4 linked regions of the Rattus norvegicus genome follow. The protein of the gene in region 1 interacts with the protein of each later gene in a pairwise test. Links are inferred from orthologs where the notes say so. Each region holds a gene or a part of one and is shown in the gene's direction. Other genes may lie near its edges.

Region 1 (3,500 bases):
TAGTCTGGTCTGCAGAGTCCCTAGATCTGAAATTGCCCCTGGTTTTTGAAGGGCTGATTTACACAGTAGAGTTTTGGGTGATTTGAAATCAAGGGTGTTCTTTTTTTTCATTCTCCATGTTTTGTTCCCACATTAAAATTGTCTTCTTTTGTTGTTGGTGATGGTGGTGTGGATGGTGCACACTTTATTCCTAACACTCAGAAGGCAGGGGCAGGTGAATCTGTAAGTTTGAGGCCAGCCTGGTCTACAGAGAGAGTTCCAGGACTGTCAGGGCTACACAGAGAAAATCTGTGTACAAAAGGAATAAAAAAATTGTTTTTGTTTTATTTGTGGGATATTTGTTGTATGTTTTATTTCATTTTTTAAAAAAAATTTTTGTTGGGGATTTAACTCAGCGGTAGAGCGCTTGCCTAGCAAGTGCAAGGCCCTGGATTCGGTCCCCAGCTCCAAAAAAAAGAAAAAAGAAAAAAAAAGAAAAAGATTTATTTATTTTATTATATATGAGTATACTGTTGCTGTCCTCATACACACCAGAAGAGGGCATCAGATCTCATTACAGATGGTTGTGAGCCACCATGTGGTGCTGGGAATTGAACTCAGGACCTTTGGAAGAACAGGCAGTGCTCTAACCACTGAGCCGTCTCTCCAGCCCCTGGCTCCACATTCTTTAGAGGTGGAGGACTGTGATGGCTGTGAGCTGCTGCTGTGTGGGTGCTGGGAACTGAACCCTGGTCCTCTGCAAGAGCAGCAGTGCTCTTAATCCCTGATCCTCTTCAGCCCTGCTTTTGGTTTTGAGGAGTTGGTTTTTGTTGTTTTAATTTTGGTGTTTTGTTTGTTTGTTTGTTTGTTTGTTTTGGCTTTTGGTTTTCGGCTTTTGAAGACAAGACTTCTCTGTGTATCCCTAGGTGTCCTGGAACTCACAGAGATCTGCCTGCCTCTGCCTCCACTACACCTGGACTGATGTTTTGGTTTCACGTATCCCAGGCTGGCTTTTAACTTACTATGTAGCTGAGGATAGCCTTGTACCCCGTGCCTCAACCTCCCAAGTGTGTGTCAACACGCCCATCCTTCTACTGGTTAACTCTCAGGTCCCAGTTCACCTTTGCTGGCACTAGGGATTACTTGCAATTTGACTATGAAGCTGCACTCTCAGCCCTTGTCTAAGGCCCTTTCTGAAGCCAGACACACTCCAGTGGGGGCTCCTCGTTCTCCCTGACAAGTGAAGGGTTGAGGCCTTGTTTGTATCTTTGGATGAGCTTGAAGTCAAGAACTGAACAGTGCCCAGCAGCTGTACCTTGTGCTAGCCTAGAACATCTACAGCAGGGCTGCTTTTGTCTATAACTTTTTTTAATTTAAGACAGGGTCTTATAGCTCAGGCTGGCCTAGAACTCACTATAAATACCAGGCTGGCCTGAAAGCAGTCCTCTGCCTCAGTCTCCCAAGTACTGGCACACAGATGTCAGACACCAAGCCCAGTTTCTTTTTCCTTTCAATCCCATTTCCAAAAGCCTGGCAGAAGGCCTCCTGAGACTGTCTTTTGACCTCAGTAAGCCATGCTTGGCCTTCCTGGATTGTCCTGCTTGTCCTGTGCTATGACAAGTTGTTCCTAGGTCCTACTGTGTCCTTCCTCTGAGTTGCTTATTGTAGGGAATTAAATCATATTTAACACAGATTCATATGCTCTGTACAGAGCTTGCCCTGTGTGTCTGGGCCACTCCATGTTTCCTCAGGTCTATGTGAACCTGTCTACCTAGGGATATGGATGGTTTCTGGTTCAAGTCAGGTCTGAGTGTGGAAAGTGATGCTTTTACTAAAGGAGTTTCAAGTTCCTGTTGGCAGCAAATCAAGGATTAAGCATTGGGAAGGAAGCCAGAAGCCACCCAGAAGGAAGGGACTGGGTCGAGCGTGGATGTTGTTCTGCCAGCCCTGTGTTTGAGCCCAGGTTGAATGATGTTAGGGAGGAAATGTCTGTACTAAGACACTTGTACACCAAAATGTCTACTCTGGGGCTGGAGAGATGACTCAGTGGTTAAGAGCACTGACTGCTCTTCCAGAGGTCCTGAGTTCAAATCCCAGCAACCACACGTGGCTCACAACCATCTGTAATGAGATCTGATGCCCTCTTCTGGTGTGTCTGAAGACAGCTACAGTGTACTCACGTTCATGAAATAAATAAGTAAATCTTTAAAAAAAGAAAAAGGTCAGGAGCTGGCCCTGCAGTGATGAGAACCAGGTCTGTGTCAGGCCCTCCCGGGGCTCTGCCTGGTGGTTAGCTCCCCGACTTCCATGCTTCTGGACAGTGGGCACGCCCTGTTCTTCTCTTCAGTCGTCGTTTTCTGCACTGTGCATGATGTGAAGTGAGGGTGCAGAGGATAAGAGGGCTCAGGGTGAGGAACTAGCTCCTCAGCCATCAATGCTGTCATCGCCACACAGGTACCCCTCTATGACCAGTGGGAGGACGTCATGAAGGGGATGAAGGTAGAAGTCCTCAACAGCGACGCCGTGCTCCCCAGCCGGGTGTACTGGATCGCCACTGTCATCCAGGCAGCTGGTGGGTGTTCCTCTGGCCAGAGCAGGTCTGGAGTTTGTCTGCCATGTGTCATATCTAGTGGGTGGATGGTGTTACAGGGTGAATGGGTTTCATAAATCAAAACTTCAGCCACTAGCTTTCTTTCCTCTTCTTGGAGATTCTCCTCCTTTACATGAGAGGACTAAAACTTGAAAGTTGATTTTGTTTTGTTATGTGTTTGTATGTGTAGTTGGCTGTTTTTGCTTTTTTGAGACAGGGTTTCTCTGTGTAGATGTGACTGTCCTGGAACTCACTCTGTAAACCAGGCTGGCTTCAAAATTAGAAATCTGCCTGCCTCTGCTACCTCCTGAGTGCTGGGATTAAAGGCATGCCCCACCTCCACCATCTCCTTTTCTCTTTAATAAGGTTCATTCTGGGGATGAGGCGGGTATAGAAATCACCAGCCCAGAATGCTAAGAGTACAGCACGGTGTTTTGTTCTGCGTGTCGGGGACCCCACTACCCCAGAAGGAGTTCCTGGAGTAGGAAATGGGGAGCCTGGCTGGTGCTAGAGAAGAAGGCCTGAGAACGTGCCTCTCACGCCACCTTCAGAGGTCCCCTGTCCTTCCTTTCAGGGTACCGGGTACTGCTCCGATATGAAGGCTTTGAGAATGACGCCAGTCATGACTTCTGGTGCAACCTGGGGACTGTGGACGTCCACCCCATTGGGTGGTGTGCCATCAACAGCAAGATCCTGGTGCCTCCACGGAGTGAGTCAGTGAGAAAGCTCCCATGCTGCTTCCTGTAGGGCTCTGGGCAGAAGCCTTCCCTACCCAGTCTCGAAGTTTGGATTTATAGTGCCTGTTTGTTGGTCTTGTTTATATATATAAACTTTCTATATATATTTACTTTATGTGTATGTGTGTGCCTGAGTGAATGTCTGTTCACCATGTGTGAACCATGTGTGCAAGAGCCTGAGGTCAGAAGGTGTT
Region 2 (3,997 bases), on another chromosome or scaffold:
ACAACCATCTGTAATAAGATCTGATGACCTCTTCTGGCTACGGTGTACTTATATATAATAAATAAACCTTAAAAAGGGGGGGAGGATTTGGGGATTTAGCTCAGTGGTAGTAAGTGCAAGGCCTGCAAGGCCCTGGGTTCGGTCCTCAGCTCCGGAAAAAAAAAAAAAAAAAAAAAAGTTGTACTTCACTCTGGCTGTCACCCATTACATCTGCCACACCCTCGAATGCCAGTAACAGAACCCAACTCAAGGGTCTGTGGATGCAGCCCAGAGTGCTTGCCTAGAATGTTGAAGTTCTCAGTTACATCCCGAGTACCACCACCTAGCAATGGGGATGGTTGAGGAAGGGGAATCAAAGAGTCTCAGATCATCCAGAAAGTTTGAGACTGGCCTGCAATACAGAAATATTAGAGACTCTGTTTCAAAAACCCTCCAACTAGCTCTCCAAATCCTCCCAGAATGATCTACCTCTCCTTCCTTTCACCCTTCTGCCCTATCCAGGTGACATGGGACATACAGCTGTCTCCCTTGCTTTTACCAAAATAAATATGGTTCACACCTGTTGTCCGGGCGGAGTCCATTGCGCCTTTGAACCAGAAACTGTCGTGTTCCTAATTGCTTCACCGGGCTCTAGTTCACAGAGCCAGCAGTGGCTAATTTTGCTTCATGGTTCCGTGGCAGAAGCCCTGGGCTGGGAGCTGAAGATGAATTTTTACTGTCAGAGACTGCCGCCTTCAGGCCAGGAGAGGTAAGAGCAGTGCACTGCACTTCCAGCTCATACTGCTGTCGGCTAATGCAAAAAAAAAAAAAAAAATGAGGGCGGGGGAAGGCTCATCTGTGACCCCAGCCTCAAGGCCACCCCACCCCAGTCCATCTGTCAGTAGGTGTGAGTATACTTATTTCAAAGGACACCAGCTGCCCTTCCTGACAACTGGGCTCTTAAGGTTTCCAACCTTAGACTTGAGTCAAAATTCCGAGACTGACCAGGAGCTGCTAACCCTTCTCCCGACGCTTTTTGTAACATTAACTCTCCTGGGCTGCACAGTAGGCGGAGAGCATGTGATCCCCTACACTCTGGAAAGCGGTGGCGAGGCTGGACAGGACTGCCAGGCCAGGAGAGGTCGAGGAGGGCGGCGTTGTGAGCCTGTGCGGCCGCTAGGGGGAGCCACCATCGGGCCGGCGTCTCGACCCCGCCCCGGCCTCTCGGCTCAGCTCGGCTAGACTCGGGCGCAGCGACCGCGGCGCGCGCTTCCGCCTCACGGGCTCTGGCCCGGTGTGAGCTGCCGCGGGATGTGGCTCGGCCCGGAGGAGGTGCTGGTGGCCAACGCGCTATGGGTGACGGAGCGGGCCAACCCCTTCTTCGTGCTGCAGCGGCGCCGAGGCCATGGCAAGGGTGGCGGCCTCACGGGTGAGCGGGGCGCGGGCGGCCGGGCCTGTGCGCAGCAGGCCTGGCGGGGCAGCAGGACGCGACCCGCGGGCACGCGCAGTGGCACAGGGGGGTCGGAACGCGGGTGAGGAGGACGGTCCTGGGGCGGGCAGCAGGGGAAGGACACTAGTGGCCCTCCGCCGGGACGTGTGCACCGTCCTGTAAAGTGACTTAACAGCCAGAAGCCAGCAGGGTCCCCCAGCTCGCCCTCTGCCTCAGTTTCCCCAGCTGCCTCTGAAGGACCAAGTGGTGTAAGCACACGTTTTCTTTTACCCCCTTTACTCCTAGTTCACTGAAGAATTGCCTCTTTGTGAAGACCAAAGATGCCCTGACCTCTGCTCCCCTTCCTCCTCCGGCTTCTTCTCACTTGATGCCATCCGAGTTCCCAGCCCAAAGCTTGTTTTTGCATATTTATCAGCATTTATGAAGTGTCCCTCTGAACTACCTCAGGTGCCTCTTAGGTATCTGGGCACTACCACTCACACAGAAGCAGCTGGAGTGGGTGCCTCTGACTTTGTGTGACATGTGGCACTGTAGGAATCTATTGAACAGAATTTGTTGGAAGCCCCTTAGGCTCCAGGGCCTGTCAAGTACCACAGATCTGGCCCTGCAGCAGTTCCAGTACGTGGACCCTTCTGGATGCCAGATCTTTCGATACAGAAAGTGAATTTTCTGTGAATGCCCTGATTTTTCAGTGTGGCAGCCGACAGTCCTGCCAGATGCAGTTGGAGGCCTCTCATAGGTGACATCAGCTGCCAGCATCTCATGAGCCACACTTCTTAATGTGGAAGGGACTGTACCTATTCCAAGAAAACTCAATGTTCTCTTCCACAATCAGGCTGCTTCTCAAAGGGCCTAGAGATGACTGGAGGTGGTGCTGGGCCTGCCTCTGGGGCCCAATGTTTATTGTGAGTTAGGAAACGGCCCTCCTGGACAGCCCAGTGACCAACCTTGGAAGCTACCATAAGCCCACTGAGGAACATAGGGCACGGTCATGGGACAAGTCCTTTTTGCTTTATCATTCATCTGTGTCCAAACCCCCCCACCCCTCGCCCCCAAGGCTGAGCATCCAGACTACTGTGCCAGCCGTCCTGTAAATTCCAAATCCCAGTGAGCCAGGTTTGTCCACAACCTCCTTAGCACTGTATCCCTAAGAGATTCATCAGTAATGCAGGTTTCTTCAAGCCTCTTTGCAAAACTGACCAACCTGGCCTGAGGAAGCAGCTCAGGGGTTAAGGACGGCTGTCCACAACCTCCTTAGCACTGTATCCCTAAGAGATTCATCAGTAATGCAGGTTTCTTCAAGCCTCTTTGCAAAACTGACCAACCTGGCCTGAGGAAGCAGCTCAGGGGTTAAGGACTGTAGGAGCCAGGTTCAAATACCACAGCCATCCGTAACTTTGGTTATAGAGGATCCAGTACCCTCTTCAGGCATCCATGGGCACCAGACACAAACACGGTGCAGAGATAAACATGCAGACACAACACCCGTACATGTTACTAAGAATGAGATAAGTCAGCCATGGTGGTACATGCAGAGGCAGGGGGATCTCTTGAGTTTGAGGCCAGCCTGGTCTAGTGTGAGTTCCAGGACAGACAGGGTTACACAGAGAAATGCTGTGCTGTCTTTAAAAAAAAAAAAAAAAAAACAAAAAAAGGAAACAATTAAGATAATAATTAATATTAATAATAGCTTGTTAACTTGAACATCTAATTAAAGAGTGGGTGTGAGGAGAGGGTCAGTAAGTTAAAAAGATTTCAGGTCCTGCAATATGGCTAAGCCAGTAGTTTATACAGAAACTCTAAAAGAGTGTTCCCAAGACCAAGCGGAAAACCTCAACGTGAACATTCCGAAGTTGACTGCGAACCATATAGTAAGGCTCGGACGTGCCTTTTTTCTTTTGTTGTGGTTGTGGTCTCACTATTTAGCTTTGGCAGGCCTGGAACTCATTACATAGACTAGGCTAGTCTTAAACTCACAGAGACCAGCCAGCCCCGTGTGCATGCAGGAGCCCATGCCTGTATATGTGGAGGCCAGACGTTGGCACGAGTGTCTCCTACAGCTCTCCCCAACCTTGTGCTTCGAGATGCTGTTGGTCAGTGAACTCCAGAGATCCTGCACTCAGGTTACACGCCCAAGCAGCCACGCCCCTCGTTTTGTGGGCACATGGGATCCGAACTCCGATCCTCCTGCTTTCATGGTGGGCCTTTTATTAGCTGAGCCACTCTCCAGATTCCTAACTGCAATGTAAAGTGACTGGACTTTTTTTTTTTTTTTAACAATTTAGTAAAACAAACAAGAAATTGTTTAAATCTATTCTGTAACTGCTCGCTGCGCTTATTAAAGATGGGGGGGTGTCAGATGAAAAGTGGTAGGTTAGCAAAGAGTATTAAAAGTGAATAATAGAGAGAAATGGTTTTGTAAGCCAAGAAGACAGCAGCAGCAGATTTCCAGATCTCCCCAGAGGCAGCACTTCCTCGAAAAGGAAGGAATACGTTTCAAACAGGAAAAACAGGCAGGGTCTTTCGATTACGTCACTGTTTAAGTAATCAAGAGGAGTGGATCAGGCA
Region 3 (4,297 bases), on another chromosome or scaffold:
ACAGCTCTATCTTTCATGTGGACACACTATATTTCATGTGAGGAGAAAATGCTGGGTTTATTGTCAGGAGCTAGAAGTCCTGGCCATGAAAGGGAACTCAAATTCTGAAATCCAAGAGCTAGATCATCTTTTCTGATCTGGTCCTGTACATTCTTGGAAGAGTTGTGGGGAGTGTTGTGGATGGGGGCTGGGGAGCATAGGGGTGCTTCTCTGTCCCTTGCCTTTGTCTATTGGACCTGTTGTCTTCCTGGTGCTCCTTTCAAAGGGTGGGGTCCGGCCTTTCAAAAGGCGAAGTCTAAGAACTAGGATCAATATAAATCCAAGCACACTGGCTTTCATTTCCCAGGGATTCCCAATCCTGTGTCCTGCAGGTGATTATGTTTTCTGACACTGTCATATGGTTTGGGGGACCTTCTCTATGTTCTTGCCTGATTGGGTCCTGTTCAGCCAGAGTGCTGCTCTGACTTTTCTCGTGGCCACTACACCTAGGTTTCGGGAGTGGCAAATGTAGAACAAAGGAGCCAAGGGCGCCTTGGGGACCCAGAGGTGTGCGGAGTGAAGATGGCGGGGTGGGGAAAAGGCACTACAGGAGAGGGGATCTCAAGGAGAGAGGAGGCGGAGCTCCTGGGGTGGTTGACCCTCAGGGCTGAGGAGAGAGGAGGAAGTAGACTGAGGACTCAAATCCTTCAGTTACAGAAGGGAGCGCAGACACTGGTGGAGAAGGGGAAGGTGGCCGCGGGTGTGGGGACCCCAGGCTGAGGGGAGGGGCTGGGACCGGTGGTGGGAGGATACCACGTAGCGGGGACCCTTGATTCGGGGTGGGGGCGGGAAGAGACAGCGTGGTGGAGACCCCTGGCTGAGGGGAGGAGCTGGGCACCGGTGTGTGTGTGTGTGTGTAGGGGTGGGGGTTGGAGGACACGCGTGGTAGGGACCCATCTTTCACGGGAGGAGCTGGCGACCCAGGTGGGGACTAGGCAGCCGCCGCCGACTGAGGACCCCCGGCTGACGCGCGGCGGAGGAGGGGAGGGGGCGGGACCGCGGCGGGGCGGGGCGGCGCGGAGCCGCGGCTGACGCGAAGGGCCGGGCTGGGGGCGCAGGGAAGGGGCGGCGGCGAGCTCGCCAGGCGGCCAGGAACCCGGGTCGGGCCGGGGCCCGGGCCAAGGCGGCAGCTGGCCAGCGGAGCTCAGGCCGGGCGCGGCGGGCCGGGTGAAGGCGGCAAGGCGGCGGGCCCCGGCCCAGGCCCGTAGAGCCGCGCAGCTGCAGCCGGCTGACGTGAGCGGCGTGCGGGTCCCGGCCGGCGGCGCGCTGGCGGCCATGGCGGTGGCGCTGGCGGGCCGCGGGGCGCGCGGCGGCAGGGGCCGGCCCCCGGGCGGGCGGGCGGAGGGGGCGGGGCCGGGGCGCCGGGCGGCCCGCGCGACAGCGGCGGCAGCGGCGGCGGCGGCGGCTGGGACTAGGCGACGGCGGCGACGACGACGGAGGCGCGGGGCGCTGGGGCTGATGGCAGCGGCCGGGCCCGGGGCGGCGCTGTCCCCGCGGCGGTGCGACAGCGACCCGGCCTCCCCCGGAGCGCAGTCCCCGAAGGTGAGCGGAGCGCGCTGCCCAACGGCTGCAGCGGCCCGGGCCGGGTTCGGGAGCGCAGTGGGGACAGGACGGCGGGTCCCCAAGCAACAAGTGCGGCGAACGGTGGGCGCGGACCTCAGGGAGACCTGCGCGGCGGGTGGGAAGTTGTCGGGGAGTAGTAGGGACCGGAAGACTCGCGAAGAGTGGTTGAGACGGAGCGCCCGCAGCCTGGGGAAGTCAGAAAAGTTGCGGCCTTTTGGGATCTCAAGTCCAGGAGACGCTGAGCGGGGCGTGCGCTCGTGGTCCCGAGTTGGCAGAACGTGGGTTCACACCCACAGACTCGGCCAGCCGAAGTGACCCGTCCACGTGCCCGTCCCTCCCCGCGGGGCCTCTGTCTGCTCCCCTGTGAACCTCACTGTGGCCGGGCCCGAGTCAGAGCAGCGCCCGGGGGCTGCTGGCTCCTGGCCCCGACTGAGGACCTTGCAGAGAAGAGGGCCTTACCTGGAACGTAGCCCTTAGAATTCATACGGTTGTGAGCTGTTAAACTCTGTGTCAACTTCCATTATTGTTTCTTTTCGAATGGATCATTGTTTTTAACTAAAAGCGTTTTTAAACAGAAATCTTTAAAATATTCACAAATTAGTAAAATAGCGCTTAAAATGCTTCAGAGCTTAAAATGAACCTTGTCAAGCAAGTATGGAATATGAGTACTGTGAAAAATTAAATATTAAATATTATCTTTCAACTTGTTTTTTAGTTTTAAAAAGGAATATTAAGTTTGTTTACTTGACTTCATTTTTGATGAGTGAAAAGGAGAATGGTTTCTTTTTTTTTAATTTGAAAAATAATTTTAGTAAATTCCTAGGTGCTAGAGACATAGTGAAATGTAAAATCACTGCTAACCTCAACGTTAACATATATCAGTTATGCACTAGCCCTTGCTCTTCATGTGCTCATGTATCACTTCACTGAATCCTTGCATCAGCCACCTAGGCTTTCAGACAGGGAGAAGCTGGCAGGTTACCACACAGCTGGTGGACAGCTGCTCCATACGACTCCAGGCAGCCCACAGTGGCATGCTGACCTGACGTGCTGGCCTGTGCTTCCTTTTTATTTTCTTTCGCGGGTCCTTATTGAAATATATAGTAAGATTAGTAGTGTTAAGAGCTATAGTACCTTGATTTAAAGAACTATGAGCTGAAGCCATGAGCAATATGTAAATGAATTATTTTAAAAACATTTGACTACTTCTTTCCTTAATGGAATGGCTCAACAACTTATATCTTCTATGAGCTTATCACAATGTGCTGAATTTCTGCTATAGAAGAAAAAGAATGTAGTTAGACTTGGTAACCTGTGTCCAGTCCTTCATCTGCAAAGTAGCTAATTAGAATGTGATCTGGTAGGCCAGTTGTAAATGGAAGTGTGCTACAAAATTTGTTAGTATTTATTTCCCAGCTCAAATAGGAAGGCTTACTTTGATTTTAAAGTGGTTTTGCTATTAAAAAGCAGAAGACATTTGAACACAACCTAGTTGGTAAGAAAATGAAAGCAGAGTACATTTAAAATATAGTTGAAAATCAATTTTGTTTAGATTGAAGGTCAGTTTTTAGATTTATTCCATTTCTTATAACAAATTCTCTGTCCTTTTAATTATTCTAAAATTAAGTTTTCTAAGGACACTAGGTAGAAATGTGCTTTCTCTTGTTGATATTTAGGCAGACTGGAATGATACAGAATCACTCTTTGTTTTTAATTCATTTTAACATTTTCCATTTTTTTAATGTACAGGATGATAATGAAGATAACTCAAATGATGGGGGTCATCCATCTAAAAGAAGACGAATGGGTTCAGGGGATAGTTCAAGAAGTTGCGAGACTTCAAGTCAAGATCTTAGGTACTGCTGCTTTAAGGCTCAGTAGTGACTTCTGTAAACTGTTTGCTCACTTCTTCTTTCCTATCCCAGGCAGCATGAAAAGTTATTAAAAATTATATGTATGGGCTGGAGAGATGGCTCAGAAGTTAAGAATGCTTGTCTAACTGGAGATTGGTTACCAGCACCCACCTCCCCCAGTCTCCTGTAAGCTCCAGAGGCGCTGATGTTCCATTCTGTCCTCCACAGATGTTTGTACACATATACACAAAGCAAGCAAACAAACAAATCTTTAAAAAAGAGTCATATAATATAATATCGAAGTTGGTCTTGCTCCTGAGAACTATTAAAAAAAACAAACGATAAAATAGGTACATAAAATACAGCCATCGTAACACTTTTTATATATAAGAAGTATAGTTCAGTGGCATTAATTACATTTACAATATTGTGCAACCATCACTCTCACCCCTTTTCAAAACTTCAGTAGTGAAACTGCAGAACCCCCCAGTACCTCCTGTTCCTTCCTGCCCCCTGCTGCTGGTTGGTTACCAACTAAGTTCTCCTTCCTGCCCCTGACTGTGAACCATACAGTGCCTATCCCTAACCATATTATCTTCAAGGTTCATCTGTGTTGGAGGTCCTGAAGTCTGAACGATATTCCACTGTATGTGCTGCTACATTTTGCTTATTCCTGTGTATGCCTGCAGGCTGGGGTAATTAATGCTGAAGTGAACACTGGCGTTCAGAACCCTTGCTCTTAGTACCCTGGTATATAGCTAGAAGTGGAAAGCTGTACCATATGGTAATTCTGTGTTCAGCTTTTATAAGGACCTTCCATACATTTCCAGTGGTACCACCAT
Region 4 (4,207 bases), about 50 Mb from region 1:
GCAGGGGTTTTGCGTAAGCCTGGCCACCTGAGTCCAGTCCCCAGATCCCATGGGTTGGCAGGAAAGAACTGACTGCAAGAGTCAGTCATCCTCTGCCCTACACACACACACCTGTGCTCACACACGACAGACAGACAGACAGACAAGACGAGAGGACACAGGCAGCTGCAACCTTTCCAGGCTTAACTATACTTATCGGCTCCTTGGACCACTGAGACCAACCTGACTTTTCTTTAAAAGGTTCATTTATTTTTATTTTATGTGTGTAAGAGGTTTGCCTACATGTGTTTATGCACACCGTGCCTGCCTGATGCTTACAGAGACCAGGTGTAGGGCCTCCAGAACTAGAGTTGCAGAGCTCTGTAAGCTGCTGTGTGGATACTGGGAACTGAACCCAGGTCCACTGGACGAGAAGCTGGGCCATCTCTCCAGCGCCATAGCTTTTGGGTTTTGCCACCATCTTTTTCAGTAACATACATTCTCTTCACTTTTTTTTTTATAAATTTATAAATTTTTATAAATTTACCTATCTATAGCCTTCATGCCAGAAGAGAGCATCAGATCTCATTACAGATGGTTGCGAGCCACCATGTGGTTGCTGGGATTTGAACTCAGGACCTCTAGAAGAGCAGTCAGTGCTCTTAACCACTGAGCCATCTCTCCAGCCCCCCATTCCCTTCATCTTAAGGACAGGATTTAGAGGGGGAAAGGGAGAAAAATACCTGTGCACTTCAGAAAGTACTGCATACTCTGATGAGCTGCAACTGAAAAAGTCTTGTGTGATTGACAGAATTCTGAGTCACACCCTCTTCTCAGCTCCTAACCTTTCCCTGGTCTACAGTTTTAGTGTTAGCTAGGCACGGTGGCACATAGCTTTAATCTCAGCACTCAGAAGACAGGCAGACCGATCTCAAGTTCAAGTCTGGCCTGGTCTACAGAGCAAGTTCCAGGACAGCCAGGGCTACACAGAGAGACGCTGTCTGGGGGGACGTGGGGGGAGGAAATAAAATCCAAGAACATGACTGAAATGAGCCCAGGGAGAGTAGAATTGGAACGGTTATTTGAACCTTAATGGGGAGAGTATGGGGCCTTCATTGTCAGATCTAAAGTTCCCTCATGTAACTGTGTCCTGAACAGAAGTTCCTTTCCTGCTGTGGGTATAGCTTAGTGGTCCAGCACACAATTAGCATGACAAAACCCTAGGTTCAATTCCTGGTACTTGGGAGTGGGGTGGGGTGCTACAGTGTTCGGTAGAAAATGCCCCTTCCTGATAAGCCAGTACTGACCTGCTTGGGTGTAAACACTCAGAGAAGAGCAGCTCTGGGGGGATGGGAGGAGTCAGGGTCGAGCCCTGCCCCAGACCTCCTGGTTCCAATTTCTGCCTGTCAGCTGTGCTCTCAGCTGTCCACTGTCCTCCAACTCTGTCACTTCAGCTCTACCACCACGGTGAGAGGTTCCAAGGCCTACTAATACAGTCTGCATAGCTGGTGTGGGTCCAGAAGGTTGCAGAAGGGGGGCTTACCCAGAAGAAAGAGGGCTGGCCCTCCCCAGCAGCACCATCGAGGTCTTAGGGACGCCCTTTCCACAGCGAACTGATTTAGGGAGTCTCAAAAGTAAGTCGTCTCTTTATTACCCTTCCATTTCTCCTATCCTGAGTCTGTTGGGCCTCTTCGTCTCTCTCCCCACCTGTAAGTAGATTGGGTTTTTTGAAGTGAAATTGTCCTAGTTCAGGAAAAGCCAAGATTGGGGGATGGGGTAGGGTGTGGTGGGGTCCAGGGAATGGAGTGGTAAGGGAAGGAAAGAAAGGCTCATCTTACTCTGAAAACCTAAAATAGCTGAGGCCTAAGGCAGGCCAGGAAAGGACTAGGCACAAGGCCCCCAAAGCTCAGGAGAGAGGTAGGGGAGGGCAGATCCCAGGACACACCTTCATACATGCAGATGGGTTAATGGTGTTAACCAGGTTAAACCTCCTGAATCCATTAGAAGATATATATCTTCAATCAGGACTATCTGTAGGACAGCCGTTCTCAACCTGTGGGTCACATATCAGATGTCATGCATGTCTGATATTTACGTTACAACTCATTACAAATACATAGCAAAATTATAAGTTGTGAAGTAGCAATGAGATCATTTTATGGGTCACCACCACATAAGGAACTGTTTTGAAGAGCCACAGAGTTAGGAAGGTTGAGAACTGCTGCTGTAGGAGAACCTAGAAGCCAATGGCCTTGAGCAGCATACTGGATTTGTAGACTCTCGGGCTGTCCCTTGAGGTGGAAAGTGTCAGTTTAAGGAACTAGCTGGGAAGTCTTTCCTCTGTTGGACATTTTTGGGGGGACTCCATAGAATCTGTTCAGAAGCTCTGCCAATGGCTATTTAGTCAAGTTTCTCCCAAACCCTCCCCTTCAAGGGCCACCCTACTGTGCGGCAGGAACACTGGGATAGAATTAGATCTCATAGTGGGGTCCAACCTCTTGTAGGATGACAGAAAAGGAGGTGGTGGAGTCCCCTCAGCCCCCCTTTCCAGGAGAGACTCCGCAAAGTGGGGTGAGTCTAGACCTGTGTCCACAGTTGGGGAGGGGTCCGAAGGGCTGGGAACCATCACAGCATCTGAAGGAAGCTGCTTGGATTGATACCACTTGTGTTCGACTCATTAATTATTGGGCCAGCCAACACCTGCAACACCCAGTCCCCTAATCCCAGGGACACTGCTTTCCCATGATTGGAAAATGGGAATGGAACGTGACTCTCACTTAACGTTGGGCTTCCTTCACCCCTTCCTCAGCTACAGCGACTGAAGCAATTATTCAAGAAGGGCTCTCCAGAGACAACCGAGATGGAGCCTCCCCCAGAGCCCCAGGCCAATGGAGAAGCCGTGGGGGCTGGGGGTGGCCCCATCTACTATATCTATGAGGAAGAAGAAGAGGAGGAGGAAGAGGAAGAACCACCCCCAGAACCTCCTAAGCTTGTCAATGACAAGCCCCACAAGTTCAAAGATCATTTCTTCAAGAAGCCCAAGTTCTGTGATGTCTGTGCCCGGATGATTGTGCGTGAGTCTTGAAGGGGAGCAAAGACAGTAGGATGGAAGGCTTGGGGGAAGGACAAGACCCAGGAGAAATGTGTGTGAGACACACTGTGGCAAGATCCACCCTATGAAAATACTGAGGTTGGCAGAAAAGGGCAGGCAGATCAGAGCTGAAGTAGCCTAGGGTACAAAGGAAAAGGGGGCCTCCAGAACCTCACTCAAATGTTCTCCTCCTCAAAGTCAATAACAAGTTTGGACTCCGCTGTAAGAACTGCAAAACCAACATCCATGAACACTGTCAGTCCTACGTGGAGATGCAGAAATGCTTCGGCAAGATCGTGAGTAGTGAGACTCTGGGGAGTGAGAGCATGGAAGGGAAGGTGAAGGTCATCAAGTACTTCTTGCTGGCCCCCAAAGCCATCCCATACATTGGCTTTCTCTTACTCTAAGAAGGGCTGAGCACTCACTTGTGGTGGGTGGGATTCTGAACCCTGCCTTGCTACTTCTAATGCTCTCCGCCTCTCGTCCAACAGCCACCTGGTTTCCATCGGGCCTATAGCTCCCCACTCTACAGCAACCAGCAGTATGCTTGTGTCTGTAAGTGCGAGTCTAGGACCTGAGGGAGGGGGCGGGCCTCCAAGGTGGCGCCATACCACCCCTTAGGAAAATAAATTCTGAAACAATCATTCTCTTTCCATAACTCCCCCTCAGACTAGTCTTTCTACAGTCACTTCTGGATGCAATGATTAGTTCCCTTGGTTTATAACTCAGAGAGACGCGAGTGAGCAGGCCAGAGGTAGAGACAAGGATGGAACCTTAGTCTGCTTCCTGTAAACCATTTCTGAGCAAGGACAAGGATTTAGACTGTTTCTACCCTGTATAGAGTGACACCACATTTGGGACCAGCTCATGAGCTACGGATACACACACACACACACACACACACACACACACACACACACACACACACACACCGCCAGACAGGTTCCTAATCTAGCATCCCTTAAAAGTGTATTCCTTGAGGGTGCATTGATGGTACGGGCCTTGAGTCCAGCACTCACAAGGCAGAAGAGCTCTCTGACTTCCATATGTAGCCAGGGCAGCATAGCAAGACTGTCTCAAAGGAGGAAACACAGTAACAGGCCTGGTTCAAAGTCCATGTTTCTTCTGGTCACTTGA

The links. The genes of interacting proteins can lie anywhere in the genome.
Region 2: the proteins of L3mbtl2 (region 1) and Tbc1d9b interact in binary tests that used the Homo sapiens proteins (3 or more experiments, as listed by UniProt). The two-hybrid records come from large-scale screens. The link is inferred for Rattus norvegicus from reciprocal best matches to the Homo sapiens genes L3MBTL2 and TBC1D9B.
Region 3: the proteins of L3mbtl2 (region 1) and Phf10 interact in binary tests that used the Homo sapiens proteins (3 or more experiments, as listed by UniProt). The two-hybrid records come from large-scale screens. The link is inferred for Rattus norvegicus from reciprocal best matches to the Homo sapiens genes L3MBTL2 and PHF10.
Region 4: the proteins of L3mbtl2 (region 1) and Stac3 interact in binary tests that used the Homo sapiens proteins (3 or more experiments, as listed by UniProt). The two-hybrid records come from large-scale screens. The link is inferred for Rattus norvegicus from reciprocal best matches to the Homo sapiens genes L3MBTL2 and STAC3.

The regions. Positions count from the first base shown.
Region 1 is NC_086025.1:115,073,041-115,076,540, forward strand, and holds part of L3mbtl2 (lethal(3)malignant brain tumor-like protein 2), read left to right. Parts: intron 1-2,433; coding exon 2,434-2,551; intron 2,552-3,143; coding exon 3,144-3,278; intron 3,279-3,500. UniProt on the Homo sapiens protein: Putative Polycomb group (PcG) protein. PcG proteins maintain the transcriptionally repressive state of genes, probably via a modification of chromatin, rendering it heritably changed in its expressibility.
Region 2 is NC_086028.1:34,959,815-34,963,811, forward strand, and holds the start of Tbc1d9b (TBC1 domain family member 9B), read left to right. Parts: upstream 1-1,197; 5' UTR 1,198-1,290; coding exon 1,291-1,408; intron 1,409-3,997. UniProt on the Homo sapiens protein: May act as a GTPase-activating protein for Rab family protein(s).
Region 3 is NC_086019.1:64,638,868-64,643,164, reverse strand, and holds the start of Phf10 (PHD finger protein 10), read left to right. Parts: upstream 1-1,497; coding exon 1,498-1,581; intron 1,582-3,351; coding exon 3,352-3,458; intron 3,459-4,297. UniProt on the Homo sapiens protein: Involved in transcription activity regulation by chromatin remodeling. Belongs to the neural progenitors-specific chromatin remodeling complex (npBAF complex) and is required for the proliferation of neural progenitors.
Region 4 is NC_086025.1:65,227,068-65,231,274, forward strand, and holds the start of Stac3 (SH3 and cysteine-rich domain-containing protein 3), read left to right. Parts: upstream 1-1,407; 5' UTR 1,408-1,446; exon of another isoform or gene 1,447-1,688; intron 1,689-2,388; 5' UTR 2,389-2,484; coding exon 2,485-2,550; intron 2,551-2,788; coding exon 2,789-3,053; intron 3,054-3,268; coding exon 3,269-3,366; intron 3,367-3,561; coding exon 3,562-3,625; intron 3,626-4,207. UniProt on the Homo sapiens protein: Required for normal excitation-contraction coupling in skeletal muscle and for normal muscle contraction in response to membrane depolarization. Required for normal Ca(2+) release from the sarcplasmic reticulum, which ultimately leads to muscle contraction.